3 linked regions of the Caenorhabditis elegans genome follow. The protein of the gene in region 1 interacts with the protein of each later gene in a biochemical or structural test. Each region holds a gene or a part of one and is shown in the gene's direction. Other genes may lie near its edges.

The links.
Region 2: of the proteins of syd-2 (region 1) and rsy-1, one has a biochemical effect on the other in vitro, tested with the Caenorhabditis elegans proteins (one study listed by BioGRID).
Region 3: of the proteins of syd-2 (region 1) and elks-1, one has a biochemical effect on the other in vitro, tested with the Caenorhabditis elegans proteins (one study listed by BioGRID).

The regions. Positions count from the first base shown.
Region 1 is NC_003284.9:10,546,906-10,558,542, reverse strand, and holds syd-2 (Liprin-alpha), read left to right. Parts: upstream 1-3,303; 5' UTR 3,304-3,378; intron 3,379-3,602; 5' UTR 3,603-3,606; coding exon 3,607-3,720; intron 3,721-3,769; coding exon 3,770-4,099; intron 4,100-4,170; coding exon 4,171-4,266; intron 4,267-4,315; coding exon 4,316-4,447; intron 4,448-4,540; coding exon 4,541-4,674; intron 4,675-4,912; coding exon 4,913-5,006; intron 5,007-5,099; coding exon 5,100-5,216; intron 5,217-5,265; coding exon 5,266-5,439; intron 5,440-5,484; coding exon 5,485-5,622; intron 5,623-5,672; coding exon 5,673-5,899; intron 5,900-5,942; coding exon 5,943-6,108; intron 6,109-6,199; coding exon 6,200-6,504; intron 6,505-6,598; coding exon 6,599-6,752; intron 6,753-6,831; coding exon 6,832-6,954; intron 6,955-7,012; coding exon 7,013-7,173; intron 7,174-7,217; coding exon 7,218-7,536; intron 7,537-7,907; coding exon 7,908-8,229; intron 8,230-8,281; coding exon 8,282-8,466; intron 8,467-8,578; and 5 more. Other genes in the region: F59F5.5 (uncharacterized protein), read right to left, coding at 9,581-9,727, 10,084-10,239, 10,464-10,632, 10,690-10,787, 10,836-10,929, 11,005-11,090, 11,137-11,277. UniProt on the Caenorhabditis elegans protein: May play a role in regulating the structure of the neuronal region, called the active zone, from which synaptic vesicles send neurotransmitter signals across the synapse. This may be in association with the liprin-beta protein hlb-1.
Region 2 is NC_003279.8:11,214,056-11,225,367, reverse strand, and holds rsy-1 (Arginine/serine-rich protein PNISR), read left to right. Parts: upstream 1-3,372; 5' UTR 3,373-3,392; coding exon 3,393-3,438; intron 3,439-3,579; coding exon 3,580-4,607; intron 4,608-6,116; coding exon 6,117-6,297; intron 6,298-7,226; coding exon 7,227-7,475; intron 7,476-8,729; coding exon 8,730-8,995; 3' UTR 8,996-9,191; downstream 9,192-11,312. Other genes in the region: Nuclear transcription factor Y subunit nfya-2, read right to left, coding at 91-164, 213-288, 340-421, 481-482; Y53H1A.2 (C2H2-type domain-containing protein), read right to left, coding at 1,395-1,466, 1,529-1,678, 2,395-2,727, 2,779-2,859, 2,961-2,969; Y53H1A.7 (Ubiquitin-like domain-containing protein), read right to left, coding at 10,771-10,959; ins-36 (INSulin related), read left to right, coding at 10,277-10,451.
Region 3 is NC_003282.8:3,345,287-3,353,888, reverse strand, and holds the start of elks-1 (ELKS/RAB6-interacting/CAST family member 2), read left to right. Parts: upstream 1-3,861; 5' UTR 3,862-3,970; coding exon 3,971-3,980; intron 3,981-4,464; coding exon 4,465-4,585; intron 4,586-4,720; coding exon 4,721-4,966; intron 4,967-6,054; coding exon 6,055-6,244; intron 6,245-6,292; coding exon 6,293-6,401; intron 6,402-6,781; coding exon 6,782-7,814; intron 7,815-8,086; coding exon 8,087-8,456; intron 8,457-8,602.

The DNA.
Region 1 (11,637 bases):
AACTGTATCAAGATATCCCCTCACAGTCAATTATCGCCTCTGGGCATGCTGATTGGCATTTTCGTAACTGTGTATGAATTTTGAAGATGAAGTAGTGTCAGTGGGAAAAATTGCTTAAAACAACTTATGTGATGCAAATTACCAAATATCATTCAAAAAATTTTTTTACAATTTTTTAAAAAACTTTTATTGACCTACAAAAATGGGCAACCCTACAATGTTTGAATATCAGTGTTTGCAGCATAAATAGAGATCATAATTCAAAGAGATTTTTTGATGGAAGACATTTAAAAAAGTGGCTAAGCCGAAATTTTCCCAATTACTCAACAAATCATAACAAACTTAGAATTTTTAAATAATTTTTAAACTAAATTTTTAGTCATTGTGTCACCATAAGTGAGTTTGACTGGCTCTACTCCCCCTTTAATATGAAATGTAGACTGTGAAAAAACACACACACAATTTTGTAGTCATTTTTTTACGTTCAACATTATATAGTTGTTAACAGATATAAAACATTTGGATGTGATTGAATAAACTCAATACAAGACGCTATTTTGCTTGACTGACTTTGAATTATAGAGTATTTTTCACGATCCAGTTAAAATTCAATACTTTTCAGATATTGTACATACTATCTGAACTCCTGATTTCAATTTCGCCAAGTTCCTCACAAATGACACTAAACATGATAAGTTTCATTCCACGCAAGCCATAGTTAGACAACTGTTGTTCGGAATAGTTAAACCTTTATTTATCGAAAAAAAAACGAAAACCTCGGTTACCTACATGTTCCTGTTATCTATGAACACTCACACGCACAGACCCAGCTATAAACACTCTCATTGCAAGAACTATGAACAAGTGGCGTATCGCTCGGTTCTCTTTCTGTTTCTTTCTTTTGCAACGTCATCTTCAGTAATTACGACGATGTGTATGTGTGTATGGGCTAACCGATTCAACAGACGAATGCATGCGCACATCTTCTTCGGCTTTGCTAGCAGAGAGAAAATACTTAGCAAACTCGTCACCAAATTTTAATAAAGTTTCTGGTTTTTTTAATCAGCAAATTGAATCTTATTTTTAATGATAGAATTTCACCCAATATGCTTGCAAACTTTTGAGTGGCATTGAATTTCGACAAATGTCTTAATTGTTTAAAAAAAACTGGTTTAAAAAAGAAGCAACTTCCCTATTTAAATTTTTATTTTAAGAAATCAAAATTAATTGCTAGATTTGCATAGCATCATTGAAATGGTTTCTTAAAAACAATTCAAACGAGTGGCATTGCACAAAAATACTTCCCAAAACATCGTACTGCTTCACTTCGAACTTTGCACCTGCATAAACATCGTAACAGCAAACTCGAAGACATATTTATGTAATTTCTCACAAAATATTAGCGAGGAATCTACTAAATAAATTTTTAAAAAATTTGTCTAACACATAATTCTATTGGCAATTGATTATTACTTTTCAAGGTGCAACATGTTTCACAGCAAACTACTTTGCTAACAAGATATGTGAAATTATTTGCGATCGGAAGCTCTAAATTTATGCAGCTGCGTGCCATAGTGGCTGTCGCCAGTCAACTACTACTACCTCAGGATATTCATCCATCTGTTGAAGGCAGGTGGTCCCCCTCTTTTACTTTCTCTCCGAATATTCATACTCTTTTTCTCCGGGTTTTCTCACTAGTTCCGACCTTGCTCGCACTCGTTCGTCCATGAAAGCATTGATGTTCGGTGACTTTGAAAACTTTATGCAAATCTCAGGAATGTTGGGGTTTTGAGGGGGACGCCAAACGGAACAAAATAGGAAAATCGTAGGGATAGGGGACGTGAAGGCACTTGTTATTTTCATTGCCACTTCCACAAATTGAACGCTTGTTCTTACTCTTGCCTTGTTAGATCCCTCGTCTTTTTTTTTCGATTTCTATCAATCTGTATAACGTTTTACTACTTTACTATTATACTATTTTACGTTCAGAAAATGACTCAGAAATGACGAGTTTATACAACAATCGTGTTGTTAAACTTTTTTCTGCTTCAGTGTTTTGTTCCCCTTTTTTATGCTACTATCACAGAAAACCAAAAAAAAAAACGGAGTTTTAGGAAAAAACATTAAAAGTCTAAAAGTTGGAATCGAAGAAGTGTTCTTGTTTGTCAGTCTTCATTGTCAGTCGATCTTTGAAATTTGAAATAAACTTCCCTGTAAAACCCAATTGAATATATTTTGAGCACTCGTTCTAAATAATTGCTGCATATACTTGGAAGTAGAAAACGTATTCAATTTACAAATGGTTAATATATCACTATGAGTTTAGTGAGAGTAACTTGACTTATATTTAAAATGTTTAGAAATTCTCCGGATGCCCTAATATTAAACGAGAGACTTGCCCAGCTTCGTTCAAGTTTAATTCAGGTTCATCGGTGTCTAAAAAGTTATTGTAAGAAAATTGAGTTAAATCTTTGTTATCATATTCATTGCAATAGGATATAATATAAGTTATCTAAGTTCTGGAATTTTTTCTATAGCCATACAATTTGGAAAGTTTCATACAGTTTCGAAACATTTTCTCACGTTCAACCGTACTATTTCAGGACGTTCAGAATTTTGCCATATCTGTCTCTCTAATATTCTCTTGTCATCTCTATTTCTCTATTATCTTTTATCCTTTACTCCTTTCTCTGTTTCTGTACTTCTCCGAATTGTCAATTCTATCTTGCACTCTCATGTAGGAACCAATTGACGAAGAAATAGCGGGAGGCAGTCAGGGAGGGGACGGAAGGGGGTTTTCTCCCGCGCGCGTAGCCAAACGGCCGATAGATGTGTGACCCTGTGTTCTCTGGCTCTGGCCTGTCTCATCTTTCGTTTGCACCCATTCTCTAATGCCCTAGCATCGATTCGGGCCCACGTCCGGCCACAACGAAGAGGACGAAAAGGAGAAAGAAGGGGGAAGAATACGAAGGGCGAGCACTACTGACCGTTGTGTGTAATTCGGAGCTCTTTCTCTTTATCGGCCTGTGTCTATTGTCTCTTTTTCTTTCCCTCTCTTTTTCCATCTTCTCAACTCTTTTGCTTGGCGAGTTGGTTGTTGCAGTCATATTACTTATAACACACACACAAGAGGAAGAAACGAAAAAAGTAGAGAGAAAGAGAGAGGAAAGAGAAATAAAAACACTTTCAACGGAACTAACTTACTTTTTAGTTCTTTCGTAGTTCTTTCTTAGTTTAGTGTCAACCGTTTTAATTATTTTGTCTTTCAGCTTCACAAAATTATTGCTATAAAAATTATTGTAGGTTATTCACTTTCTGCAAGGTATGACAAATTACTCAACAAGGGCAAGCTGATTCACTTCTTTACATTTTTTTCTGGTAAGTGTATTTTATTTTAAATTTGAAAATTGTATAGTCAACGTTCAGATATTTCTATTTCTAGGCGATGTATCCAATTTCTTCTGTTTCTTGCGTTTTTTCTCGCGCTTTTCTAAATATTTTTCTGCATATCTAGACGATTTCAAAATATAACTAAACATTTATTAATGTTTTGTTTTTGATTGAAAATCTGAAATTTAGTTATCAATTTTAATCTGTTTCAGAAATATGAGCTACAGCAATGGAAACATAAATTGTGATATAATGCCGACAATCTCGGAAGATGGAGTGGACAACGGCGGTCCCATTGATGAACCATCGGACCGAGACAACATTGAGCAGGTCTGTATATTGTAAAACCTTAAAACTGAATGTTCTTTAACTTTTTCAGCTGATGATGAACATGTTGGAAGACCGGGACAAATTACAAGAACAGTTGGAAAATTATAAGGTGCAACTGGAAAATGCAGGGCTCCGAACGAAAGAAGTTGAAAAAGAACGAGATATGATGAAGAGACAGTTCGAAGTTCATACGCAAAATTTACCGCAGGAACTTCAAACAATGACGCGGGAATTATGCCTATTAAAAGAGCAGTTATTAGAAAAAGATGAAGAGATTGTCGAGCTCAAAGCAGAACGGAACAATACTCGACTTCTTCTAGAGCACCTAGAATGTTTAGTTTCCCGTCATGAAAGATCACTCCGAATGACGGTCATGAAGGTATGTCTTTTGATTTATTATTGTTCCCCATTCTATTTGATGTGCTGTAATATTAAAACTTCCTTTTTCAGAGACAAGCTCAAAACCACGCTGGCGTATCTTCTGAAGTTGAAGTTCTAAAAGCTCTTAAGAGTTTATTCGAGCATCACAAGGCATTGGATGAAAAAGTAATTTTTTGTATTTACTCTGTAGATTTTCTAATGTTTTAATATTCAGGTTCGTGAACGTCTTCGAGTAGCAATGGAGCGTGTGGCGACACTTGAAGAAGAGCTGAGCACAAAAGGAGATGAGAATTCGTCGCTGAAAGCGCGTATTGCCACTTACGCAGCAGAAGCGGAAGAAGCAATGGTAATTATTCATTGAAAAAAATAAGAAAGAAAACAGAAAAACGAGAATACATCACATACCCACAAAAATGTGTTTATCAACAAAAATTTTCAGGCGTCAAATGCACCCATCAATGGTTCAATTAGCAGTGAAAGTGCAAACAGACTTATCGAAATGCAAGAGGCTTTAGAAAGAATGAAAACAGAATTAGCCAACTCACTAAAACAATCAACTGAGATCACAACAAGGTACTATCGTAATAACTTTTCAAAAATTGATGGTGAATATATAAACACCTATAAATTTTTGTGGTCAAATTTTTCGGTTTTTTTTCAAAAAAATGTTTGAAGAATGCGTAAAAATTAACTATAAAAATATATTAAATTACATTTAAAAAATTGTTTTCTTATCTCAATTCAGTAAAAAAAATAGGAAAAAATCATGCTGAAAAGCCTATGAATACTCCCCCAAATTTTTAAATTTTAGAAATGCCGAACTCGAGGATCAATTGACAGAAGATGCTCGTGAAAAACATGCTGCACAGGAATCAATCGTTCGTTTGAAGAATCAAATTTGCGAGGTACTTGTGAAATAATCAATTTGTATCGATATTGTTGCTTTTACCTCAAAATCATTCAATTCAAGCGTATTTACTTATTTTTCCTATGTTTAGCTTGATGCACAACGCACCGATCAAGAAACTCGGATAACAACGTTTGAGTCGCGTTTCCTGACCGCGCAAAGAGAGTCAACGTGTATCCGGGACCTCAATGACAAATTGGAGCATCAGGTCAGTAAAAGACATCGCAATTGCATTAGAAACCTCATTTTCTTTTCAGCTTGCCAATAAAGATGCGGCTGTCAGGTTGAATGAGGAAAAAGTTCATTCACTTCAAGAAAGATTGGAGTTGGCAGAGAAGCAACTTGCACAAAGTCTCAAAAAAGCTGAATCCCTTCCGTCTGTAGAAGCCGAATTACAACAAAGAATGGAAGCACTTACAGCAGCTGAACAGGTGTGTTTTTGTTGTTATGTTTGTTTAAAATGTTTTCCTTTTCAGAAGAGTGTTTCTGCTGAAGAGCGCATCCAAAGGTTGGACCGAAACATTCAAGAGTTGTCTGCAGAGTTGGAAAGGGCTGTGCAAAGAGAACGCATGAACGAAGAGCACAGCCAACGGTTAAGTAGCACTGTGGACAAGGTGAGCATTTTAAAATCATACACAAAAGTGTTAGCAAAACATTTTTCCAGCTTTTATCGGAATCTAATGATCGCCTTCAACTGCATCTCAAAGAACGAATGCAAGCCCTCGATGACAAAAATCGGTTAACACAACAGCTTGATGGAACAAAGAAAATTTATGATCAAGCGGAACGAATCAAAGATCGTCTTCAGCGGGATAATGAATCTCTACGGCAAGAGATTGAAGCTCTTAGGCAACAATTGTACAATGCAAGAACTGCGCAATTCCAGTCAAGGTACAACATAATATAATGCATGGTGAAACCGTAATTTTTTCAGAATGCATGCAATTCCGTTTACACATGCTCAAAACATTGTGCAGCAACAACCACAAGCTTCGATTGCTCAGCAATCTGCATACCAAATGTACAAACAACAACCAGCTCAACAGTATCAAACTGTAGGAATGAGAAGACCAAATAAAGGAAGGATTTCAGCACTCCAGGTGAGATTTGGTTTTGTGACATTTTGTTTCACCATGTTAAAATTGCTATTGGCTACAACAAAAAGAAACCAACCATTGAAAAAAATTTCAGGACGATCCGAACAAAGTTCAAACCCTCAACGAGCAAGAATGGGATCGACTTCAACAAGCGCATGTTCTTGCCAACGTCCAGCAAGCATTTTCCTCATCACCATCACTGGCCGACGTCGGTCAATCGACTCTTCCACGTCCTAACACTGCTGTCCAACACCAGCAAGATGATATGATGAACAGTGGAATGGGAATGCCAAGTGGAATGCAGGGAGGAATGCAAGGTGGAATGGGTGGTGGTCAAGATGCTCAGATGTTGGCATCAATGCTACAAGATCGCTTAGATGCAATAAATACTGAAATAAGGTGGGCTAATTATCGTTTTAAAATCTGATTCTATAATGTATTTTCTTAACTTTATTAATTTTTTATTAATTGTTTTTAACAAGTATATTTTAAGATTGATTCAACAAGAGAAACATCACGCAGAACGGGTGGCTGAACAGTTAGAACGATCAAGTCGGGAATTCTATGATGATCAGGGAATATCTACGAGAAGTTCACCAAGAGCAAGTCCCCAATTAGATAATATGCGACAACATAAGTATAACACTGTAAGTCTTCATTTGTTTGTTTTTTTAATACATTTTTTATATGTATTAAATGTTCTTCAAGAATTTTTCTAAATTATAGCTTCCTGCAAATGTATCCGGTGACCGACGGTATGATATTTACGGCAATCCGCAGTTTGTTGACGACCGCATGGTTAGAGATTTGGACTACGAGCCACGACGAGGGTACAACCAATTTGACGAGGTAAGAGTCATCTCAAGAAGGAAGAAGATGATTAATGACCGGTTCGTTTCTTTTGCAGATGCAATACGAAAGAGATCGAATGAGTCCAGCTTCGTCAGTCGCTTCCTCGACAGATGGCGTTCTTGGCGGAAAGAAGAAAAGATCGAATAGCTCAAGTGGATTGAAAACGCTTGGAAGGTTTTTCAACAAAAAGAAAAATTCATCGAGTGATTTATTCAAGTGATTATTTTATTGAGTTATGAAAACATACAATCATTTTTTAGACGAAATGGAGATTATTCGGATGGCGAGCAGTCGGGCACAGAAGGAAACCAAAAAGCTGATTACGACAGGAGGAAAAAGAAGAAGCATGAACTATTAGAGGAAGCCATGAAAGCACGAACACCGTTTGCTCTTTGGAATGGTCCAACTGTTGTTGCCTGGCTGGAGCTGTGGGTTGGCATGCCAGCGTGGTATGTAGCTGCGTGTAGAGCAAATGTGAAATCCGGTGCAATAATGTCAGCTTTGAGTGATCAAGAAATCCAGAAGGAGATTGGAATCTCAAACCCATTGCACAGGTTGAAATTGCGACTTGCAATTCAGGTACTGAGGCTTTAAAAATTTACTAACCGGCAGTAAGACGGCATTTTGTTTGTATGTTGCAAAAAATGAAAAAAAAACACCAAAATAAATTTATCTTGGTTCGAACCAGGTTCTTTCAACTTGAAAGTTCTCATGGCAAGATTCAGCAAAAATACAGCAACTCTGTAGCCAGGTATTTTTTGTTAAAAATTTGCAATATAAATTAATTGTAATGATCAGTCAATGTGTTCACAGATTCCTTTGATTTTTTCATTACATAAAAAATAATATCCTTAATGTTTTTCTGAAATTTTGAATAATGACAGTTAAACTTTCAAATTGAGCAAACAATTATATACAATACAAGATTATATGTATATGCTTTTTTTCAGGAAATGGTTTCTTTAACGTCACCATCTGCCCCACGAACTGCTCGTCTGACTCTTGCCTTCGGAGATATGAATCATGAATATATTGGAAACGACTGGCTTCCTTGTCTCGGTCTTGCGCAATACCGATCAGCGTTTATGGAATGTCTTCTTGACGCTCGAATGTTAGAACATCTTTCAAAACGTGACCTACGCACGCATCTGCGCATGGTAGACACATTCCATCGTACAAGTCTCCAATACGGAATTATGTGTCTCAAGAAAGTCAACTATGATAAGAAAGTGTTGGCGGATCGGCGAAAGGCGTGTGATAATATCAACACAGGTAATAATTATATTATCTTTACAACAATGCCTTTATGGGTAATACCTTGCAGACTTGCTAGTGTGGTCGAATGAACGAGTTCAGCGATGGGTGGAAGAAATCGGGCTAGGTGTATTTTCAAGAAATTTAGTGGATAGTGGAATACATGGTGCATTAATTGCACTGGATGAAACGTTTGACGCATCCGCTTTTGCATATGCACTCCAGATTGGATCTCAAGACGTTCCTAACAGACAAGTGAGTAGAAGTCATCATAATTCAAGAAACCTTTGGGAAAAATTGAAAATAATACTCAAATATCATTTTATTCCGCAAAAACAATTATTCATATAATCTTATACATTTTTAGCTACTGGAAAAGAAATTCATTGGCTTAGTCAACGATCACCGTCAACAATCCGATCCCCATCCGGTAATGCCATAGTCCGTCGATTAACACGTTTTCTTTTTAAACAATAATCAATTCTTACATTGTTCAATTTTTTGTGCTGCTCTCTTGCTCAACTAGATTTTCCTTGACATTTTGCAGTGCTCCTTTAACTCTTCCCGGTTGCTCAAAACATTTTTAATTCAGATATCTAAAACAACTTTAACCTTCAAAAAATCAGCATTTTCAGTCATAATTCACACTGTTAATTAACGTCTTTTCCACAATACTGGTATGATTTGGTGTGTTTGCTCTAACTTCAGTATTGTTTGATCTCATCGTTTAGTAATGTGCAAAATTTCAATTTTCAGAGAAGTGGAAGTTCTCGTAAGAATGATTCCATAGCAAAATCCTACGAGTTTCATTTATATACCTAGTTAGTTAGTTAAATTAAAATTTTTTCCGCTCCCTCTCACTCGTTCGTGTCTTTCCTGTCATTCGTGCTAGTCTAAACGACCTTATACCGCCTGCTTCTGTAATTTTTTATTGACGATTTCAGTTTTTCGGTATTTTAAGTTTTAATTATTCTCATTATCATATCCATATTTTTTCCATTCTCAAGTTTTTCCCTAAATATCTTTTTAGCACGTTTTTCTTCTGGTAAAAATCAAAAAGATAGAAAGAAAGTGCGCTAATATTCAATTTTTCTACAAAACCAAATACTTTTAACTTATTTCCTTGATTATTAATTATAGTTTTTATCCAATCTCATCATTGTTTTCGATTCTTGGCAAACAACATTCCGTTTACATTGTTTTCTAATAAAAACGTTTCATTTTTTTACAAATGTAGCTTTTTGAACCGGTCCGAAATAGTTTTAGTTTGAAATTTTTTTTTAAATGAGAAGAAACAAAATGTAGAAAGAAAATCAACCGTATAAAATTTGAATCGGGAGTTGGGAAATCATGAGATAGTCAGTGTTCACTAAAATATTCTGATGCATAACCAAATAAATGCTCCAATTGTCATGCTCTGGGCTTCTCTCACTCCATTCATCACAGATAGAATGTCATTCTCATCAATTTCCTTATTTGAAGTATACAATCGGACTGGATTCAACTGATTCGTCGTCTGTAAACATGTTTGCTTTTTGAGCTACTGGTTTGAAAATTTGTTGGATGTAAAGTTAGGACGATGATTTATGGCATGGCTAAAATGAAGTAATACTCAAAAGATAAAATATAACACAAGAAGGCTATAAGGACAACATTTCTTGTTCCTACTAATTCCGTTTTTTGAGTAACGGCATTTTGAACCCAACCAAACAAGGGTAGCATTTTTTTACATACGAACATTTTTATATTTTATGATAGGGGTTTGACTAAAGACACAATTTGTTAAGTCATACATAATTAACTGTTTTTGACTATTCAAAACGTTGAAAGAAATGCATTGGTGAGTAAAAAATCAAAGAGAATTTAACTGACCTGCTTTACCCCCGGAATCGCAGCTTTCGGGCGTGGGTCATCTGTTCCGCGAACCAAGTGGTGAAAATTGCACAAATGACTGTCGCATATACAATGCTTTGCAAGAACTTCCGAACTGTTCCCCTGCGTTTCAACTGTGCAACCGATTTGCACTTTCTGTAAAGAAATTTACAATTGAGAATTTCTTTGTATTTTTCTTTATTGAATGTTTAGAAGAACTGATTTTGCCGAAACAATTGATGAGCTTGAAATCAGTTAATTGAAGTAAAACAGATCTACTTGGACACGGTGTAAAGATTCATACTTTATGCTTAAATATATTCTTCTCATTTCCTGATATTAAAAAATGTTCTAAAATTACTGTTGTTATAAACGCTTACATCATTGCCGTTAACTTTGACACATCCTGCTTGAAGTTCAAATCTTGGCCTGGCAGCGCCCACAAATTCGTCATGATCTTCATAATTATGTTTAAAATCAGCACTTTCTAAAACAATTTCAGATGTTGTAAGAGATATGAAGCAATAGTGTCCTTCACATGTTGATGATCTACAACAAATGTTTAAAAACATTATTTTTAAATGAAAAATAAATTTAAAACACTACTTTTTAAATACTTCCTGTCCGAATGGTTTGTATCCTTTGTGCATCAAAGCGTAACAGTAATGTAAATTTTCATGCTTTCTCTCAATCACATGTTTTTTCTAAAAAAAACCATTAATGTTTTAAATGACCTCAAGAATATATTTAACCTGGTAATTGAAGGTTTTGTTAAACTCGTTACACAAGCCAGATGGGTGTGTGCACACGCAACCATTCATCACATTGGAGGCGCTGGATTCATATCTAAATAAGGTTGTTGTGTTTTTTCAAGCTATCATGGATTATGTGACGCTGAGGGGATTTTGTCGTAAAGCCCACCTGGTGCACAAATAATCTCCTTCATAGTCGAGATAATCATCGACACGCAAGAAAGACGGCAGTCGTGGATATCCCAACCCGCATCCCTAATACAACATATGTTAACTCGTTCAGTTGTTTAGCAATTCAAACCTGCTCTTTTCCATCAAAATCCACAACACAATAGTTCCCTCGACAATTTGTAGAGCATCCCGAATCGCAATCTTCACCATGACGGGAAGTGCAATGACAGCATTCGACGGATGGAAGGCGCGACGGAATGTAGCTACCCAACTGCAAATTCAATTAGTTTGGTCCCATTTTCTGTCGAAAAGTTCCAAAAGACACACTGAATGTTCTTAATTAACTTGGAAAAAAGAGCGCAAATTGACGTTTTTTCGGAAAATGAAATATGTAGAAGCTTTACCGTAATTGGTTGAATTTTTTAAATCTTGTAGTTTCAAGTAAATTCAACATATGTAAATATTCGAACAAAACGTATTTTTCAGTTCCACGCTAATTGATAATTAAAATGACTACATTATTATACTATACCAAGTTTTTTTTCAATAAACGTTTCGTTTTTATTAGAGTCACATCCAAAAGCGAAAAATTTACAACGTGTTCCAACTTTACACCTATATACACCAAATG
Region 2 (11,312 bases), on another chromosome or scaffold:
AAATTTTTTTGGAAAATCTCGGTCAAATGAGCCGTTTCAAGGCCTTAAACGTCGTCCAAATGTCCTAAAAACAGCTGTAAACTACAGTACTTTGCAGTCCGGCGGAAGTTGAACAGTTGTCGGCTGAGTTGTTCGGATAGCTTCTCGAATTTGACCGAAATTTTCTAAAAAAAAATTTTTTTTTAGAAAATTATTTTTTTCCGGGCACGTACGATTTGGTGGTGGCGGTGGAGCCGATGATGTGCTCGCCGTATTGTACATGTGATATTGGGACAGTGAGGTGAATGTCTGAAAATTGTGTAGTTTGTAGTTTGTAGTCTCTTCGTTTCAAAATCCTACTGTTTGAGGTCTTGCTGGTGCTGCTGGACGTCTGTTTAACACAATTTGAGTCGGCATTTTCGACGGATTTCCACGTGGATTCCTGAAAAAAAAAAACAAAAAATTTTGTAGTTTGTAGTCTGTGAGCCTCAACAAACTTACATTTTGTTTCTTACACGATTTTTACGGGCAGACTCAAGCTGTGATGGAAATGCTGAAAAAAAATTATTAAAATTTTGTAGTTTGTAGTGTGCGTGCCTCGGCTACAAACTACAAAATGTCATAGCCTCAACCAAATTTTTTGGGACTTTTGAGGGAAAAATCAGTTTTTGGAGGTTTTTTTTTTTTAATTTTAATGCGAATTTCATGTATTTCACAGCAGAAAATAGGCAATTTTTGATTTTTCGACTGGAAAATCGCTAGTTTTCGGACTTTTTAATGGAAAAATACGTAATTTCCATTTTTTTAAAGTGATCTTTTTTATAATTTCCGCTAAAAAACTGATATTAACATTTTTTGGTTGAAAATTACAGACTTTGTTATTTTTATCCGAAAAATCTGAAAATATTCATGATTTCTGATTAAAAACGGGATTTTTTTTGGTTTTTCGTGAAATTTTTCACATTTTTTAATTTTCAAATGAATTTTTGTTTTTTTTTTTGTTAAAATTTTCACAAAAAACTCTGAAAAAAGATTTTAGCTTCAAAATTCAACAAAAAAACTTGGTTGAGGCGGTGTCAGTTTGTAGTTTATAGCCTCTCAGCCTCAACCAATATTTTGGTTGCGGCTCACACACTACAAACTACACATTTTGGGTGAAAAAAAAATGAAGGTATTCGCATAAAAATGGGCAATTTTTGAGGAAAAAACTGAGAAAATCGTTGAAAAATCAATATAAATTGCAATTAAAATGAATTTTGTCAATCAAAAACTGAATAAAAATTTAAATATGCACCGAGAAAATCAATGAAATGAGCGTATGAATAAGGCCACTGGGAAATCGAGTTAGTGTCAGAAATAGTACACAGTAAAAAAATGTAATTTACAATATAACAATCAAAAAAAATTTTAAAAATTCATGAATCCGGGTCCAAAATCTCTGTTTTCACATTAATCTTCGGCGGAAACTCGTCACAATTCGGAGTTTTCTGCAACAAAAAAAAATTAATTTTTTGTCAAATTTTCAGTGAAAATTCGATTTTTTTGCTACCTTCCAGTGTCTCCGGAGACTATCTGGGCTCTGATAGCAATATCCACATTTTTGACATTTATAGGCGTCCGGATTGCGGTGTACAACGATATGATGCTTGAGACGTCGTTCCGATGTGTACTTTTTCGGGCATTCCGGGCAATTGTGCTTCTGAAAATTCGAAATTGTTGGGCGAAATCCATGAAATTGTAGTTTTTAGTCATTTTTATAAGAAAAATCGGGAGAAAATCGGTTTTTTCGGCCGAAAATAGTTTTGGGTGAGGCTCAGGGACTACAAACTACAATTTTCTTAGCCTCAACCAGTTTTGCGTTAGTTTTTGGTGTTTTAGGATTGAAAAAGTGAGTTATAAGCTTAATACATTGCAGTTTTTAGTCATTTTCATATAAAAAAATTGCAGAAAAATCAGTTTTTTGGTCGAAAATGTTTTGGGTGAGGCTAACAGACTACAAACTACAATTTTTCTAGCCTCAACCAATTTTTTTCGTAAAAATTGAAGGTTATTATCGTAAAAAGTTAATAAATATCATGAAATAGCCGTTTTTACTCATTTTTATACAAAAAATTGGGGAAAACCGTTTTTTTTTTGGTCGAAAATGTTTTGGGTGAGGCTAACAGACTACAAACTACAATTTTTTTAGCCTCAACGAATTTTTTAATACGATTTTCAACTGAAAATTAGGTTTTTTAATAGTATAAATTAATTTTTAAGCGAAAATTGAATAAAATCCTATTTAAAATGATTGCGGTTTGTAGTTTGTAGTCTGTGAGCCTCAACCAAACGAATTTTCGTCCTATTGGCTGAAATTTGATGATTTTTCATGTTTTCAGGGCAAAAATTGTTAGAATCGGGGTTTTTTATCAGTACCATTTCACTTTGGCCATCCTCATCATCTTCGTGATCCTCTATTTCTTCCGGATGCTCAGATTTTGGAGAAATTACTCGATTTTCCACGATTTCTTGTGAAAATTCTGGATTTCTAGGATGAAAATGTGATAAATTCGAATAATGAGCTTGTTGCACAGATTGCGGGGGCGAATATTGATTTTTCGGTGAACAATTTTGAGGCACATTTTGCGAATTATTGTCGTAGACCAGCTCATATTCGTCGGTTTTCTGCTCCGCAAACATATTTCTCATTGTAGTGAGCACTTTTGGTCCATCTTCGTCTGATGTGTAGTTTGAGGAACAGGAAATATCCTGAAAAATTGGAAAAAAAAAGTGATTTTGCAGAAATTTTCGGGGAAAAACCTCTATTCCACTTTGTAAATTGAAGTCATCGCCGAAAAGCATGTAGTTTGGACAGGAAAAATCCTGTTTTCTTTCTGTCATCTGAAAAAAAAGCAAATTTAAATTTAAATTATTCAAAAAACAACTATTATCGTTGAAAATTGCTGCTAAAAATTAAATTAAATTAAATTAAATTAACCTACCGTAGCCATTAAAGGCGCATGCTGTGTTCCCTCGAATGGGTTTCTACACGAAATTGGAAAACGTCGGATTTCGGCAGGAATTCTGGAATTTAAAATCACTTTTCTCCAAAAATTAAATATATCGATTCATTTTCTTCACATTACAAACAAAAAAACACGTTCAAGTATCTGAAAATCACACAGAAAGCCGCCGTCAATAAAATTCGGTGGCCGCGTGGCCGTGGACTAGGTTTCGTGTAAAGGAACGGCCATCGACATTTTTTCGATTTAATTCTATTTTAGAATATTTTCAGCGCATTTTTAAAGCTTTTAAATAGAAAATCTAGCTGAAAATTTCGAATTTTTGTTAAAAAATGCTAGTTTCCACCTTTTTCCTCCCAAAAAAAACCAATAAGATCGATATTTCCTGCAGAAAATCACAAAACGAGGGAAATGGAAGATTGGACCAACTATCATCAGGCACAGCCGGCGGAAAGTGGTATGGCGTTGTGATTTTATTGAAAAATTGAATTTAAAATCGAAAAATTTGGCAAAAAAACACGAAAAAATCGATTTTTTTCGAGATTTTCGCGAAATTTTTTTAAATTTATTTAAAAATTAATTTTCGTCTATTTTCCAGTCGACTGGGCCCAGCTGGCCCAACAATGGATGGCGATGCGCGACACAGACGATCGTCGAGCCGGAAATTCACACGATTTCGCTCAAAATCATCAGCTCCCGTGGCATCAGCCACGTCATCCGGGCCCTCCGGCTCATCAGGATTGGGGCGATTGGTCCGCGAATCGGGACGAGCAGTGGAGAGGGCCGCCTGGGCCTTCTGGGCCGTCCGGGCCCCCCGTATATCATAATCAAGGCCCGCCTCGTGGATATCCACCACCACCGCCACAGGGAGCAGACACGTGGCGTGGAGCTCCTCCACCAGCTCACCACGGACACTTTGGACCGCCTGGACATCATTTCCAAGGCCCACCACAACATTTTCCGCCAGGGCCACCAAGGCCGCACTTTCCAGGCCCCCCAGGCCCACATAGACCTCCAGAGCACTACCCAGGGCCTCCAAGACCTCAGGCTCCAGCGGCACCACCACCGAAAAGCCTATTCCCGTCGGCCCAAAAGCCTAAGCCACTTTTTGCGGCGGCTTCAAGTGCTCCAAGCTTCTTCGGAGCACCTCAACGTCCACCACCGCAGCTGCACTTTTTCCAGGAGAGCCCCTCGGTCCAGCACGATTTTCAGCAGCCCGATTTCCAGCCCGATTTCCAGCCCGAAAACTACCAAAATTCCCCGGAACCCCCGGCCCAAGCTGGCCCGAAAGGTGTGCCTCCACCGGCTCCACTAATGGCTTCAGGGCCCACAAACCCGTATGCAATGAACAAAGAGGCCCGGAAAAAACTGCCGGCCTGGATCCTGGAAGGCCTTGAAAAGGCCGAACGGGAGAAGCAAAAGCAGTGGGAAAAAGAGGAAAAGCTGAAGAAAGCGGAAGAAGAAAAAGCCCGGCGAAGAGCCGAAGCTGGAAAGAGCAAATTTGACTCTTCGTCGGATGAAGAGAGCCCGGAAAATGAGAAATTTCCTGTTGGTAATGGAAAATCTGAATATCAGGAAGATGATAATGATTCGGAAGACGATTTGGAGGAGAGACGAGAGCAATTTGTACGGGAAATTCTAAATTCCTGAAATTTCCGCAAAAAAAAACCTAAAAACTACAAAAAATTTGAGAAAAAACGAAGATATTCTAAATTTTTAGAGGAAATTTTTCAAAATTTGAGAAAAAAAACCAATTTTTTGAAAAAAAAAATCCAGCTTTGTAGTTTATAGTCTCTCAGCCTCAACCAATATTTTTGGTTGAGGCTCACACACTACAAACTACAAAAAATTTTGAGAAAAAACCAAAAATTTGTCGAAGATTTTCTGAATTTTTAGAGAAAATTGCTAAAAAAATCGAGAAAAAACCGACGAAATTTGATCAATTTTTGTTGGTTCAGGCTCATGCTCAGACACTACAAACTACAATTTTCGGGTAGCCTCACCAAAATTATATTTTGAACAAAAAAATCAATTTTACAATGAAATTTTTGTATTTCGAGGAAAAATCGTTTCTTTTTTTACTTTTATTTCAAAAAAATGTTGAAAATTTGAAAATTTTAGCCGGCTAGACTACAAACTACAGAAATTTTTTTTTTTAAATTGTATTTTCCCAAGATTTTCTGAATTTTCCAGTGTAACTCCTAAATCCTAAAAATAATTCCTATAAAACACCGAGTTTTTGATAAAATTTCAAAAAATCTATTGGTTGAGGCTATGACAATTTGTAGTTTGTAGCCTCTCAGCCTCAACCAATATTTTGGTTGAGACTCACACACTACAAACTACAATTTTCGGGTAGCCTCACCAAAATTAAATTTTGAAAAAAAAATAAATTTTTCAATACAACTTTTGAATTTCGGCAAAAAAATCGTTTTTTTTTTCATTTTTAATTCAAAAAAGTTTAAAATTTTAGACATTTTAGTAGACATTGGCGTTTTTGATGCCAGCTAGACTACAAACTACATGAATTTAAAAAAAAAAAACAATTTTCCCTAGGTTTTCTCAATTTTTCAGCGTAAACCATAAAAATTCCAATAAAAAACCCAGTTTTTGATAAAATTTACAAAAAAAACATTGTTGAGGCTATATGACAATTTGTAGTTTGTAGTCTCAACCAATTCAAAAATTGGTCGAGGCTCAGACTACAAACTACAATTTTTAAGACAGCCTCACAGAAATTTAAATTTTCAAAAATTCAATTTTTTCAAGATTTTTTAAAAAATTTTCTAAAAAGTTTTGAAATTCGGGTAAAAAAAATTTTTTTGTTTCAAAAATTTTATAATTTTGATGCCCGCTAGACTACAAACTACAAAAATTTCGAAAACAAACCTTAAAATCTTCCCAAGATTTTCAGAATTTTTCAGTCAAAACCTTTAAAAATGCAATAAAAACCGAATTTTTGATAAAATTTCAAAAAATCTATTGGTTGAGGCTCGCGTTTTTGGAGGCTGTTAGACTACAAACTACAGAACTTTTGAAAAAAAAAAATTGAATTAAAAATTAAAAAAGGTCCATTAAGTGGAGAAAAACCTCTTAAAAATTTCAAAAAAAAAATTTTCGAAATTTTTTTTCCAGATACGCTGTGTGAAAACTCTAATGATGAACGTGCTCCTCGAGTCTTCGAATGACGTCATCATGCGTATAATACAAGAAGAGCTCCGTGAGCACGAAAAACTTCAATTTGAACGGAAAAAATTGGCAACTGCGCCGAAAATCATCGGCAACAGCTCAGCGTTGGCGGCTCTCGCGGCTTTTGGTATGGAGAAGCTCGCGAAAATTCGAAATTCGGAAAAAACAATTTTTTTGACCAGAAAATTCGGTTTTAAAAGTTTTTTCCAAGTTTTTAATTTAAAAAAAACCGAAAACTTTAACATTTTTGAAATTTTCTTCCAAAAAGCTATGAAAATCGTATAATTTTTCATAAAAAATTCATAAATTGTTCCAATTTTTCGACGAAATTTTTTTAAACAAAAAAAATTCGATTTTATCGAGTTTTTTGAGCTAAAATTTCAAAAAGTTTTTTAAAAATTGATTTAAAAAATTCGAAAAACGAAAATTTTCAACATTGTCTTCAAAAGTTTCACATTTTTTAAAAACTTTTTTCTAAAATTTTCGAATTTTCCATATTTTTTTTAAATTTAAAACAGTTACAATTTTGAAACAAATCGAATTTTCTGGTTGAAAAATTTGAGATTTTCCGAAAAAAAAAGTAAAATTTTTGATTTTTAAATCGAATTTTTCAAAAAAAAATAGCGAAAATTTAGATTTCCAGAAAATTTTAATTTTATATAAAAATTGTGTTCAAAAAGTTCCTGAAAAGCTCTTCTTTTTCCTAAAAATTCAAATTTTTCAGAAAAAGTTTTCAAAAAAACATTTTTTTTTTTTGGAAAAAATCGGTTTTCAGAAGCTTTTTTAATTAAATATTCGTTATAAAAAACGATTTTCGAACAATGTACCAAAAAAGAATTTTTAGTTTAAAAATTTCAATTTTTTCGATTAAAAATTCCATAAAATGTGAATTTTCAATTTCTCGAAAATTGTAAAACTAAAATTCAAATAAAAAAAGCCTTTTTTTGCAAAAAAAAAGTTGAGTTTTCAGTTAAAAAAAAAAACGTTTTTTAGAGCTAAAATGTCATATTTTTTGAAATTTTATTTCAAAAAATTCAAATTTTTCAAATTTTCCAGGAGACGGTGAGGATAGTGACAACAGCAGTGACGATGGAGTTGGCGACGACATGGAGCCACGGCAGGAGAGCAGTGGCTCGGCGGAGCTAAATGGAGCATCAGGGGCAGCAGAAGCAGGAACACCAGAAGCTGGTGGTGGAGAGTTCAAGGCTCCCGTGGGTATCCCTCGAAAGTTTAGTGTTAAGACAGATGATGTCAAACCATCAGTTAATGATGATGGTGAAGGTGTTGATGATTTACACGTTCCAGGTAAGGTAAACTAATGAAAAATATAAAAATATATTCACTTTTTGTTGAAAAAAATACCATTTTTGCTAATTTTTTCCCCGATTTTAGCGTCAAAAATGTGTTTTTCTGTAGTTTGTAGTCTATTAAAGCGCGAATTTTCAGCCAAAAAACTTCAAAAACCTACTGGAAATCCACTTTTTTGAATTAAAAATTCAAAAATTTCAGGAAAATCTGCAAAAAAAAAATGTTTTTTCAATATTTGTGTGAGGCTATGTTATTTTGTAGTTTGTAGTCTCAGCCTCAACCAATTTTTGAAATAATTGAGGCGCGCTGGAGACTACAAACTACAAGTTTTCTTCACAATTTTCACTTTTTTCCGCCAAATTTGAACTGAAATTTTTTGGGATTTTGGGACATTTGGGATTTTGGATTTTTGGGACAGAATGGTTTTGTAGTTTGTAGTCTCGGAGCGCCAATTTTCAGCCAAAAAAAATAATATTTTATTCCAAAAAACCCACTGGAATTCCACTTTTTTTGGATTAAAAATTCAGAAATTTTCGGAAAATCTGAAAAATTTTGAAAATTCAGTTAAAACCGCTTCTAGAACTCGAAAAATCTATTTTTTAAATCCAAAAAAAAATCTGAACATTCCTGAACATTTGGTGAGGCTTTGCTCATTTTGTAGTTTGTAGTCTGTGAGCCTCAACCAATTTTTGAAATAGTTGAGGCCGGAGACTACAAACTACAAGTTTTCTTCACTTTAGCAGAGATTTTTCGGGAAAATCTCACTTTTTATCTAAAAAATTTCAAAAATTCTTTTCTTTTTTCAATAAAATCTCTGAAAATCCAAATAAAAATCCAAAAAATTTTTTTTTTCTAATTTTGTAGTTTGTAGTCTGTGAGCCTCAACCAATTTTTGAATTGGTTGAGGCTACAAACTACACATATTTCCCAGCCTCAACCTAGATTTCTTCATATTTTACTCATTTTTTAAAGAATACAAATGAAAAGTGTGAATTTTTGAAATTTTCACTCGCAAACGTGTAGTTTGTAGTCAAAATATTGGGATTTTACTATTTTGGGTTAGGCTAAGCTGATTTTGTAGTTTGTAGTCTTCGGCTAAATATTTAGAAATTTCCTTTCAAAAAGTCTGTAGTTTGTAGTTTGAACCTTGATTGAGGCTGATGTGATTTTGTAGTTTGTAGTCATTCTCTAGACTACATAGAACTACACAATCTACACACAAAATTCCGGAAATAATATTCAAATTTTCAGATTCAAAAAACGGCGATAATAAAAAATCGGAAAAATCGTCGTCGGAAAAGAAGAGAGAACGAGAGATGAGAGACGATGAGAAGGAGAGAAAATCGAGTAAAAAGAGCAAAAAACGATCGAAAAGTCGTGAAAAAGAGCAATCTTCATCACGACATAATCACCGATCGAGAAGCCGATCTTCGGAACGGGATCGCCGTCGAAAACGGTCGAGAAGTTCGGAACGTCGGAGGGATCGGGGGGACAGGGATCGGCATAGTCGACGTTGATTTTTATTGATTTTAACGATAAATTATTGATTTTTCCGATTTTTACCGCCGATTTTTTCCACCAATTTCTTGCTCCAAATTCTCATTGTTCAAAGCCGCCCGTTTTTCTGGAAAACTCCCAAAAAATTATTTTTTTGTATTACCTATGATGACATTTTCCCATTGATTTTTTTTTGCTTAATGTATTTTGAAGTTTTGTTTTTTCGTTTTTGGTTTCAGCATATTTCAGAATCGCACAATAAATTCTAATTTCGCGCCTGAATTTTTGGAAAAATAACTAAAATTTGAATTTCCCGCTAAAATATTAAAAATAATTTGAAGTTCGCGCCAAATTTTTTGTTTTGAAAATTCGAATTTCCCGCTGAAATATTTAAAATTTTTGGAAAAATTACTAAAATTTGAATTCGCGCCTAAATTTTTGAAAAAAATACACATAATTTAAATTTCGCACCAATTTTTTTTTTCGAAAATTCAAATTTTTCGCAAAAATCATGGAATTTAACATTTTAATTATTCCGCCAAAATGTTTAATTTCCCTCAAAATTTGAATTCCGCGCTGAAATTTTTGAAAAATTCTATTTAAAATTAGCGCCAAGATTTTGTAAAATTTAAATTTCTCGCTAATAAATTTAAAACACATTGAAAAATTGAAGTTTGAATTTTCCTCAACAGATTGACTAGAATTATCAGTTTTGAACGCCTCTCACGAGACAAAAATCAATGGCCGAGTTTTCCCGAATTTTCTAGGCCATGCAGCAAAGGTCGGTCATGAATTCCTTACACTCAGAATATTATAGAAAAAATACGATCGCACAAAAATAAACAACGACGCAACGACACTCCGCTGTTTTTAAGCCCCGCCCACGATTTCATTTGCACTGAAATGTGGCGGTCGCAGTGCAAATGAAATCGTGGGCGGGGCTTAAAAACAGCGGAGTGTCGTTGCGTCGTTGTTTATTTTTGTGCGATCGTATTTTTTCTGTAATAGAATTATTAACCTTCGATCTATTTATTTCATTTAGCCATAAAAACTATGTGTTATAGTTCTTCTAACTGATATGAATTTGTGCAGAGTATTGGCATGTTTTATCAATTTGTGACTGTTCGAAATTGTTTCAATGTTTTGCTTTTTTAATTTTTTAAACGGCCTGAAATTCGGCCTGGAACGGCCTGAAATTAGTTTTCAAATTTTTTTGTTCTTAAACTTTTTTTTTTTTGAAAAAAATAATATTGTATTTTTCACAATTCAATTCATAGAAAAATTGTTGTTTTTTTTCCAGAATGAACATAGGCAAATGTTCCATAATTTTCCTGCTCTTTTGCGTTTTCGGATCAATTTTGAGCCGAGCAATCCGGAAAAGACACCCAGAAGGGAAATTGGTTATTAGGGATTGTAAGAGATATCTTATCATGTACTCAAGGACAATTTGTAAGGAAAAATGCGAAAAATTCGATGGTAAGTGAGCCTGACTGCTATTTTCTGAAATTTTCCAACAAAAAAAAAGGAAAATACATACTATTTCACTAACTTTTCCCACACGTTTTTCATATTTCGATGTTTTACTAAAATGCTTAGCTTTTTTTTAAATACTATAGTTTTTCTGGGATTGTATATTTTTCTATAGTAGGCCCGCGGACTATACTCAGGGAAATACTGCTGAGCGTTGGCGACTTAGTTACTACTTAGAGTTGGCAGGAGTCTGTCTACTTTCGGCAAGATTGTGTCAAAATTCTCACTTTCGGCAGGAGTTCCTTTGCCTAAATAAGCCCGCGGACTATAAACACACAAGAGTCCCGGATCTTGGTTTGGAATAATAAAGAAAATCAAAATATATGCATAATGTTGGGGTGTGCAGTTTCGGCCCGAGTTGTCCGTAGTGTGGGTGGCAGTTGCAGGTCACGGTCCGCGGCAACGCCGCTCTGTCGCTAGTGTCCACCCAGGCCACGTGACCGAGCCAATCTCCCTGAATCTTTATATGAAACATTGCAATACTCAAATCCTCGAATTTATTAACTCAACACATTTAAACTAGGGCTGGAATATCGAGCGTCCGGTCGTATACCTAATGAAATTCTAAAAACCGGACGACTGGACGCTCAATATGACAGCCCTGATTTAAACAAGTTCGGACGAAAAATAAATTTTTTGGTCAAATTTCTCAAAAAAAAAATGTAAAAATGAAAAAAATGTTGAATCTAATTTGAATTAATTGCTTGTAAAATACGTTAAATGCTATGATTTCCACATTGAAAATAACATTAATGCCTACGATTGTGAAAATAGTAGTTTTATATATTCAAACTGTAGAAAAAATAA
Region 3 (8,602 bases), on another chromosome or scaffold:
CTCTAGTTGTCATACAGCTCGACTGATTTCATATATTCCTTGAGAACGCGCGCACCTCTCGCCCTTTTGGTGCAGTGGTTAAGCGCACGGTCTTCAGATACAGTCATTGCTGGTTCAAATCTGGATAGGTTCAGTTTTCTTTTACGTCGTCAAGTGTCCTGATATAAGCTTTCAATGTGTTTTTTGGATCACGAAATTCTCGTGAGAGCTCTTGTCAGCATAAGCGCAGGTCAGCATAAGCATATTCAAAACGTCAGCATAAGCATATTTCAAAGGTGTCACCATAGGATAGTTGGCAATGAGATTGTGCAATAAAATGTGTATAACTGAAATGTTGTTGGCGATAGTGTCAAAAACATTTGGTTTTTTAGGTTTCAATAATTTTTTTCGATTTATGAAAAAAAAATCCAAAAGGTACCCCTTACAAAAATTTTCTAAATTTTTTTTTGAAAACTTTTTAAAATTTGATCAGATGTTATAGAAAAATGCAAAGTTTGTAGTTGATCTAGTTTAGATGTTCTGAACACGATTTCAGACAGAAACCTGAGGTATAGTAGAACCTCAAAATTCAAAATACGCACTCACTTCGGATGTTGATATCTCCGTGGGAAAATTTTTTAAGACAAGGTAATAAATAATAATAATAAACTACAAAGTTGTATATCTCAATCTGAAGTACAACTTTGTAGTTGATTGTTTTTCATTAAAAAATTTGTTGGTTGAGATATGAACAGAAAAAGAAGAAGAAAATACAATCATGAAGGTGCCGAACTTTACACAACTTTATCTCGACCAAATGTATGTGTGACTGATATGAAAACATGTGCATACTCCTGTCTATAAATATTCAATCAATTCTCACCGATGTCCCCTTTGAACAGGTATCCCATTGGAACCTGTGTATGTTTGTACAGATGCCCCCTCTGAACGGATGCCCCCTCTGAACGGATGCCCCATTTGAACGGATGCCCCCTACTTGATAAAATAAAATAAAATGAAAAATTGATAAAAATTTGTGAATTCACGGCAAAATGAAAAAAAGAGGAGGCGGGCACGTTTCAGGCAGGCGTCGGGTCCTGAAACCGCGCCTGCCTACCATGGAAGTCCTATTTTCGACATTCTAGGCAACTTTTGTCAGTCATTGGTTTAGTTTTCGACAACTTGCGGTAACTTTTGGAAAATTTTGGCATTTTTTCTCCAATTCTCGTCATTTTCAGTTTTGCCAGATTTCGGTAAACTTTCTGAAATTTTAAAATGTTTTTTGACAATTTTGAGGCTCACTTCAGTGTTGCCAACTTCCTTCTCGTCAATTTTCAAATTTTTTTTACAAATTTTCGACAACTTCCTACAATTTTCTGCAACTTTCTGCAATCTTCTACAATTTTCTACAATTTTCTACAATTTACGGCAACCGAACTCGGCAACCATCCAACCCAGCACATGCCCTACCCACCAGAGGCTCCAAAAACCTAAAAGGACACTAAATTAGTATTCAAATTGGTCTTGACACACTACCTCCCCCTCCCTTTTCCTTCTTACACTTTTATGCAACAATATTCCATTTTTATCCTCTCCCCTTATTTTTTCTCTAATTCTCTCCAGTTTCGCCTCACACTCACCCAGCACCCTCCAATTTTCCCGCCCCGTGGTATCGTTTTCATTTTCTCATCACTGAGAAGAGAAAGGAAGGACCACACCCTCTTCAACATCATCAATTTCTTCGTATTTCTTCAGACGTATACTTCTAATTGTGGAGGGTCCTCCCGAGCGGAAAATTTCAATGCTAGCAGTTTCGTTGAAGCAGAGAAATTTTTGAAAAATTCAAAAATTCAAAAAAAAATTGTCGTTTCTTTTTTCCAAATCAAAAATGTTTGGTATTTTTGAATAGAACATCAAATTCTAAACATTTTTGTTTTTTACCGCATTTCTATATCTCACGGCGTTCTATTGTAGATGGGAGAGAGCGTGGGAGACGCAGACGACGAGACACTCTGCGTCTCCCCTTCCTCCACGCTCTCTAGGTCCCCATCTCAAGCCCCGTATCTCGAGAACGGTGATAGCTATTAAAAAGTTGTCAACTGATAGATAAATGTGTAAAATTTTGAGAAGAATAATTTTTGGGTTAGAAAATTTTTTAAAGGATTATTGTTGATGGAACTTTTTTTTTCAAAAAGTTCTAATCAGCAAAACAACGTAAAAATACACTTTTCACCTTAAATGTTTCTGCAATAAATATTAAATCTCTTCAATCCCCAGATTTTCCTACTTTTCCTGCGTCTCTCCAATCTCTTCTGGTTCAATGCCAAAAGCTCAACTACTCGACGCACTCCCTAAAAGAGAGTTTGAGAAAGACAATGGAGACGCAGAGAAAAGCTCTTTTCGGACTCTCACCACCCCTTTTTCTCTATCTTTTTGCCAAAAACGTAGTACTATGGACCACCGAAATTGAAGGGGGGAGAGACCTTTGCGCAAGTCGTTTTATTTTTTCTCTTTTTTTTGCTTTTGTTTTATTAATAGGCGTTTACAGTGTGGAGAGTGGGTGAGGAGGCAGAGAAGACAGTCTCGTTGTCTGCGTCTCTCTGCTGTATATATGTATCTGGAACGGTTAGAGCTTAGAAAATAGAGTAACAGAGAAAAAAGATCAGAATGTTGAAAAATCCCAATATACTTTTTTTTCTTTTTTCAAAAAAACCCCTGTCCTCCAATAAATCGTAACGTTTGCAATTTTCCGTTCCATTTGTCATCATTGAACATTGAAAGAAACACAAAAAAAACGCACTGAGCGTACTGTTTTCGTCTTTTCTATCCCTTTTCCCCGACACTTTTCTCTCAATTCCCTACAATTTTTGTGTCTTGGCGTCAGAGTCAAGAGTTTTGCCTTTTTTTTAAAGTTTTCTAGTATGGAAAATTTAAGAAAACATATGTAAGATTGCTGAATAATAATTTAAAAAAATCGAAAAAAATGTTTTTCGAATAGAAAACCAAATTTCTCACTTTACTATCTTTAACCGTTCCAGAGATACACGCATTTTAGAGCATAGTGCGGTGAGAGCGTGGTGGAGGGTGAGACGCAGTCGACGAGACAACCTGCGTCTCCCCCTCCTCCACACACTTTGCACTCCTCAACTTTGAACCCCTATATCTCTAGAATGGTAATAGCTACCAAAAAGGTTCCAACAGACAAAATGTGCGAAATTTTGTGCTTAACAGTTTGTTAGTTAAAATGTTTTTGTTAGCCGTTTTAGTTTTGAAGTTATACTCAGTTTTCTGAGGCGGTACCGAAACTTTTCTGGATTTTTCCGTACAAATTAAGAATAAACATATTCTGTTAATTGGGGAAATTATTATTCAAAAATTTAACCAAGACTCCGCCACTACAGTCCCCCTCCCCTCTCCTCTGTTTTCTTCATGCTTATCCGCGCGCAATCCGCCTCCCCTTCCTTTCTCTAACTCCTCTTACTCTCTCATTCCTTCTCCCTGTTTGTCAAACCATCTAGGTCTCTTCTTCGTCTCTTTATCTCTCGGCTCTCTTGCTTTTTGGCTCTTTCTCTCCTCTCCGCGCACCCCGCGCATACATTGACTTACACAAGACATTTGCTGCTTCCGGCCGGACTTTTTGAACGATTTTTTTTGGTTTTTGGGTTATTGATAGTGGAAAATTTGTATTCTGAAATTAGGAGTGAAAAGTTTAGCGGGAAATTTGAGTATATTTTGAGAATAAATTTCGAAAAATAAAAATTGAAAGTTGTTTTTTTTTCAAAATTTCCAAATTTAACCAATATTTCCTCATATTGTTTTAATATAATTTTTCTCCTAACTTTTTTCTCTTCTCCTCAATTCTCAAAAACTTCAAAATTTCAGTCAAAAACTGGATCGAGGCGGCGGCGGGTGGTACGGTAACGGCTTGGACGCCGAGTGGTCCTACAACGAACACGTACCCGGACCATCAAACTACCCGGAGCAGTACAATATGGCACCTGGTGAGTTTTTAGAAGATTGCAAATTTTTGCAAATTAAACAAATTTCGCTCAAAAAAAATTTTTTTTGATTTTTTTTTCGCCAGAAAAGCATGAATATCTCAAAAACTGAAAACTCTATTAAAAAATTTATGACTAACTAATTGTAGATCACAAAATTTCACACAGTTTGTTAGTTGATAACTTTCTCATATCTCCAAAACTCGCAGAGTTATGCCAATTTTTGCAAAGCTTGTTAAAATTCCAAATTTCAGTGTGCTCCAATGTTTAACCGAGGAGGTTTTTGCTAAAAATGTGCAATCTCTTGAAAAAAAAAGTGTGTTGATAAAAATTTGGAAAGAACATTTCAAATTTCCCGCCAATCGCAAAATGTAAGGGCGCTCTAATGCAAAAAGAGTTGAAGCGTTTCGTTAAATTTGGCACAACCTTTTTGAAAAATTCTACAACAAGTGCGCTCCAAAAAGAATTTTCCAATTTTTCGTTTCAGGTCCCGCACCATACAGCAGCCGAACATCGGTGATGAATTCCAGTGGCCGAAACCCGATGAATTATCCATCAGTCCCACCCCATACATCCATATCCGCCGCGTCGAGGCGCCCACTGCAACGGTGAGTAGCTTTTTTAGGGATAAACTGAGGAAAATTTAAGACCAAGCACAAATTTTCTGTCTCCCAACGGGCCTACAGCCTGCCCCTCGAAGACCAACTACTCTCGAGGCCTACCTAAGAACCATCCAATTCCAGGCAACACCGCTCGATGGACGGCCTTGGTGTCCTGGACGCCTACAAAGACTCCCTAGACTACGATATGATGCTCCAGCCGTCTCCACCGAAACCTCTACATCAGCCATCATACCTTCCATTGGAGATATCCACAAGTCAACATCACCATCCACCACATCACCACCCAACACAGTTCCAGCGTGGGCAATCGCTGGCGTTATCGAATCCGATTCCCACGCAGAATGCGTTCTGGCAGCATAATAATAGGTTAGTTAGGGGTGCCGGGTATTCGGGGAGGTCGACAGCTTCTAAAGTCGCCGGGTTGTCGGTAAGGCTGCCTGGTAGACAAAAAGTAGTCAGTGTGCTTGTCATTAGGGATGCCAGGATCCTAAGAGCCTTTAGTGTTGTCTAATTTGTATTGGTTGCCCATCAGAAGCCAGTGGCGTTGTCAATTTCCTGACTTGGTTGCCGCCTAAACTAGATCCCAGTTTCTATAGTGCTTGTCGGACAGGACCCTGCCGTCTTCTAAATCATCCATTAGGGCTTTTACCTTTCTTCCTATACCGTTTCTTCCTCCCCCTCCAGTTAACACACCACAAACGACACAAATCTACGGCTCCAAGACCCCACCCTAACCTAATTTAATTTGCGGGGGGGGGGGGGGTGGTGCTGGTGGACCCTCCGAAAACCAACATTTTTTAGTTTTTGTTCTTTCAGTTGAATTTCCTCCAATTTTTAAAGAATTTGCGGGTTTTTGCTGCTCCTCATCTCTCATGGGAGTATAATATGCATGTATATATATATATTTTTTTGCACACATTGACTGCTGCTGACGTTCTCTTCCGAAAAAAAATTGGGGGCTCAAAACAGATGAATTTTAAGTGGGGTGGGGGAGCTCTGGAGATTCAAATAATATTATGTAATTTTACTTTGAACTGTTATATCGTCGAGGAGGTTAGAGGTACAAAAAAATTTTCCACTAACAAATTATGCTGTTTTTAATTTTGAGCATTTTGTTAGTTGACAAAAACTCGTATCGTTAAAGGCAATAAAGTTAGATCCGAAACAGCCTCTGCCTTTTCACTTGCCTTGCCTACCTGGGATGATACGATGGTCTTCAATCCCTCTTATCTCCTAGGTAAGAATAGATACAAAAATGTAGTCAACATGGAAACTGTGCAGTTTTTAATTTTGAGCATGTTTCCAGTTTACAACAAATTTTTATGTTTTTTTAAATGTTTAATAGCTAAAAAGTTATAGCGTTTGAAGGGCAACACCCAGGGCCAGAGCATCGGTAGAAACTTGTGTAATATTACACGCGGAAGACTTTTTTCCTCAATTTTCCAATATTTCAGCATGGCCACCACATCAGTCCAAGACTACGACCTAATGCAACCAGGCATATCCCGAATCCCCACCGGCACTGGAAGTGGCCTGAACATCGCGAGAGAGTACGAGCAGCTGAAAGTCGAATACGACACAATGATGGAGAAGCTAAATCAGACTATGAATAGTATCAAAACGTTTTGGAGTCCCGAGTTAAAGGTAATAGAGCTACCGTAGTGTATGATTAGCTATGTGAAATTGTTCCAGAGGGAGAGGCAAATGCGGCGTGATGAAGCCACTCGGATAGCGCAGCTGGAGAGGATGGTTCAGTCGGGAGGAGGTGGCGGTAATGACTACGGCCTAGGTTCTAGCGAAGGTAATTTAGGTGTTTTTTTTAAAATAAGCTTCAAAGCCTGCAATTAAATTAAGTTAATTTAAACGCTTGTTAACCCCAAGCGGATGACAAGTTAAAACAAAAGGGTCCCAGGAGTTCAATGTTTCTGAAAAGGTCAAGATCTTGGTTCGAATGAAACCAACACCTTAGAAGCAGAACAACGCCCTTAAGATCCTAAAAACATAAAATCCTCTGCTACCAGGGTCATGGACTTTTTAGGCTACCGTCAAGTAAGCCTTGGCTGTGCTTTACCCCTTACCGATTAAATCTGTAAGGCTCTAGGGTACCCATGTTTTTGTAGGTTTCCTTATGGTTAGGGCCACCTGGCCTAGGAATCTCTTACACAGTCTTCATTCTTTCAGCGCTACAACTCCGAATGGAACTCCGAGAACGCGACGAACGCATTCGCCAACTCACCACAGCTTTAGAATCCGGCTCCGGTGGCATGGACGGACGGATTCGAGAGCTAGAGGATACTATTATGAGGCTTCAGGATCTTCTAACAACCAAGGAGACGCAATCTATGATGGCAAGTCAGGATCCATCAGGCCGGCAAGCTATCGAAAACGCGCTTCGGAGGATCGATGAAAAGCAGGCGAGGATCGTGGAGTTGGAGGAGGAACTGATGAGGCAGCGGATGGGAAGGAGTAATCAGCCAAGAGATTTTACTGATAAGAACCTGTCCGGTCATGAGATGGCGACGATGCGCATGAAAATGGATCGAAGTGAGGTGGAGCTCGCGGAGAAGAAGCAGGAGCTCTTCGGGTGTCAGACAAGAATGCAGACCGCTGAGGAGACTGCGAATGAGATGAGAGGTCATCTTCAGTTGTTGAAGGATCAGCTGACAAATCGAGAGCAACATAACACTTTGCTACAGGGTGATGTGGATGCGTTAAGGCAGAAGCTGGATAGTAAGAATAAGCAGTTGGAGCAGAAAGACGAGCGTGTGGCTGCACTGGAGAGAGATCTAAGTTCCAGCAAGGCTGATGTGTCGGATAAGGGCGAGTTGATCAGGCAGACCGAGATGAAAACTTCTCAATTGATCGGCAGAGTTGACAGCCTTGAAACAACAGTTCGGGAAAAGGAGCAAGAACTCGATCGGGCTAAGATCCGCCTGCTAAGCCACCCGGATGTGGTGAAGGAGAAGGAGATGACCGAGAAAATTGAGCAAGGAGAACGAGAGAGACAGCGGCTCGCCGAGCACATTGATCAAGTGCGGAGAAATGCGGAGAAGGATGCGATGGAGCAACAGAAGACCTATCAGAATGAGATGACACAGTTGAAGGCGACCATTGAGAACTTGCAGAAGGAGTTGTCGGATAGGGATATACTTCTGGAGTCGCAAAATGAGAAGATTGGAGATATGAATCGGGATCTTGTGCAAGCAAAGAAGCGGTGAGTTTTCTGTGAAATTTTCAGAAAATTTGGTTAGCAGGGAGCCGAGTTATGTGCTTTTGAAGTTTTAGGTCGAACCGCGACGCGACTGCAACGCGTTGATTTTTTCGAAGTATTTGTTTCCCATCTAAAAATTGACAGAAAACATGCACGTCATCTTTGAGCCAAGTTAACAACGTGGCTATAAAATTTGAAGATCTACCAGAATACTTTACTTTCAAATTGGAAGTTCCAAAATAGTTTTCCCAAAACTTCATTTTCAAATTTTGCAGTTTGGACGACGCAATGGTTGACAAGGGTACCGATGAGCTGAGACGAGACGTTGAAGGAGCAAGAAATGAAGTTGAGAAGCTGCTCAAAATGGTGCACTCTCTGGAAAAGGAGAATCTAACCTTGACAGCCCAATGCAAGCAGCTCAAACGTGACGACACGCCGAGAGCCGGCACCACCTCTGCGCCTAGTGCACCGGGAACTTTGACCAGAAGCACGAGTGCTCAGAATAATATGCACAAAAGAATTGAGGAGCTGGAAGAGGCTCTCAGGGAGTCGGTATCGATTACGGCTGAACGGGAAGTTCATTTGTCGCAGCAGAAGCATCACTTACAGCAGGTCTCCTCTCAGTTGAATGAGGCTAGAAAAGAGGTGATTTTTTTCATTTTCAATAGCAAAGTTGTGAAAATTCGTAATTAGCTTGCTGAATACTTTGATTTCAGTATAATCTTTGCTTGAATTTTAAAAAGTTGGGTCTCGCCACGAAAACCTTTTTCGGGTTACTATAGTTTTAGCGG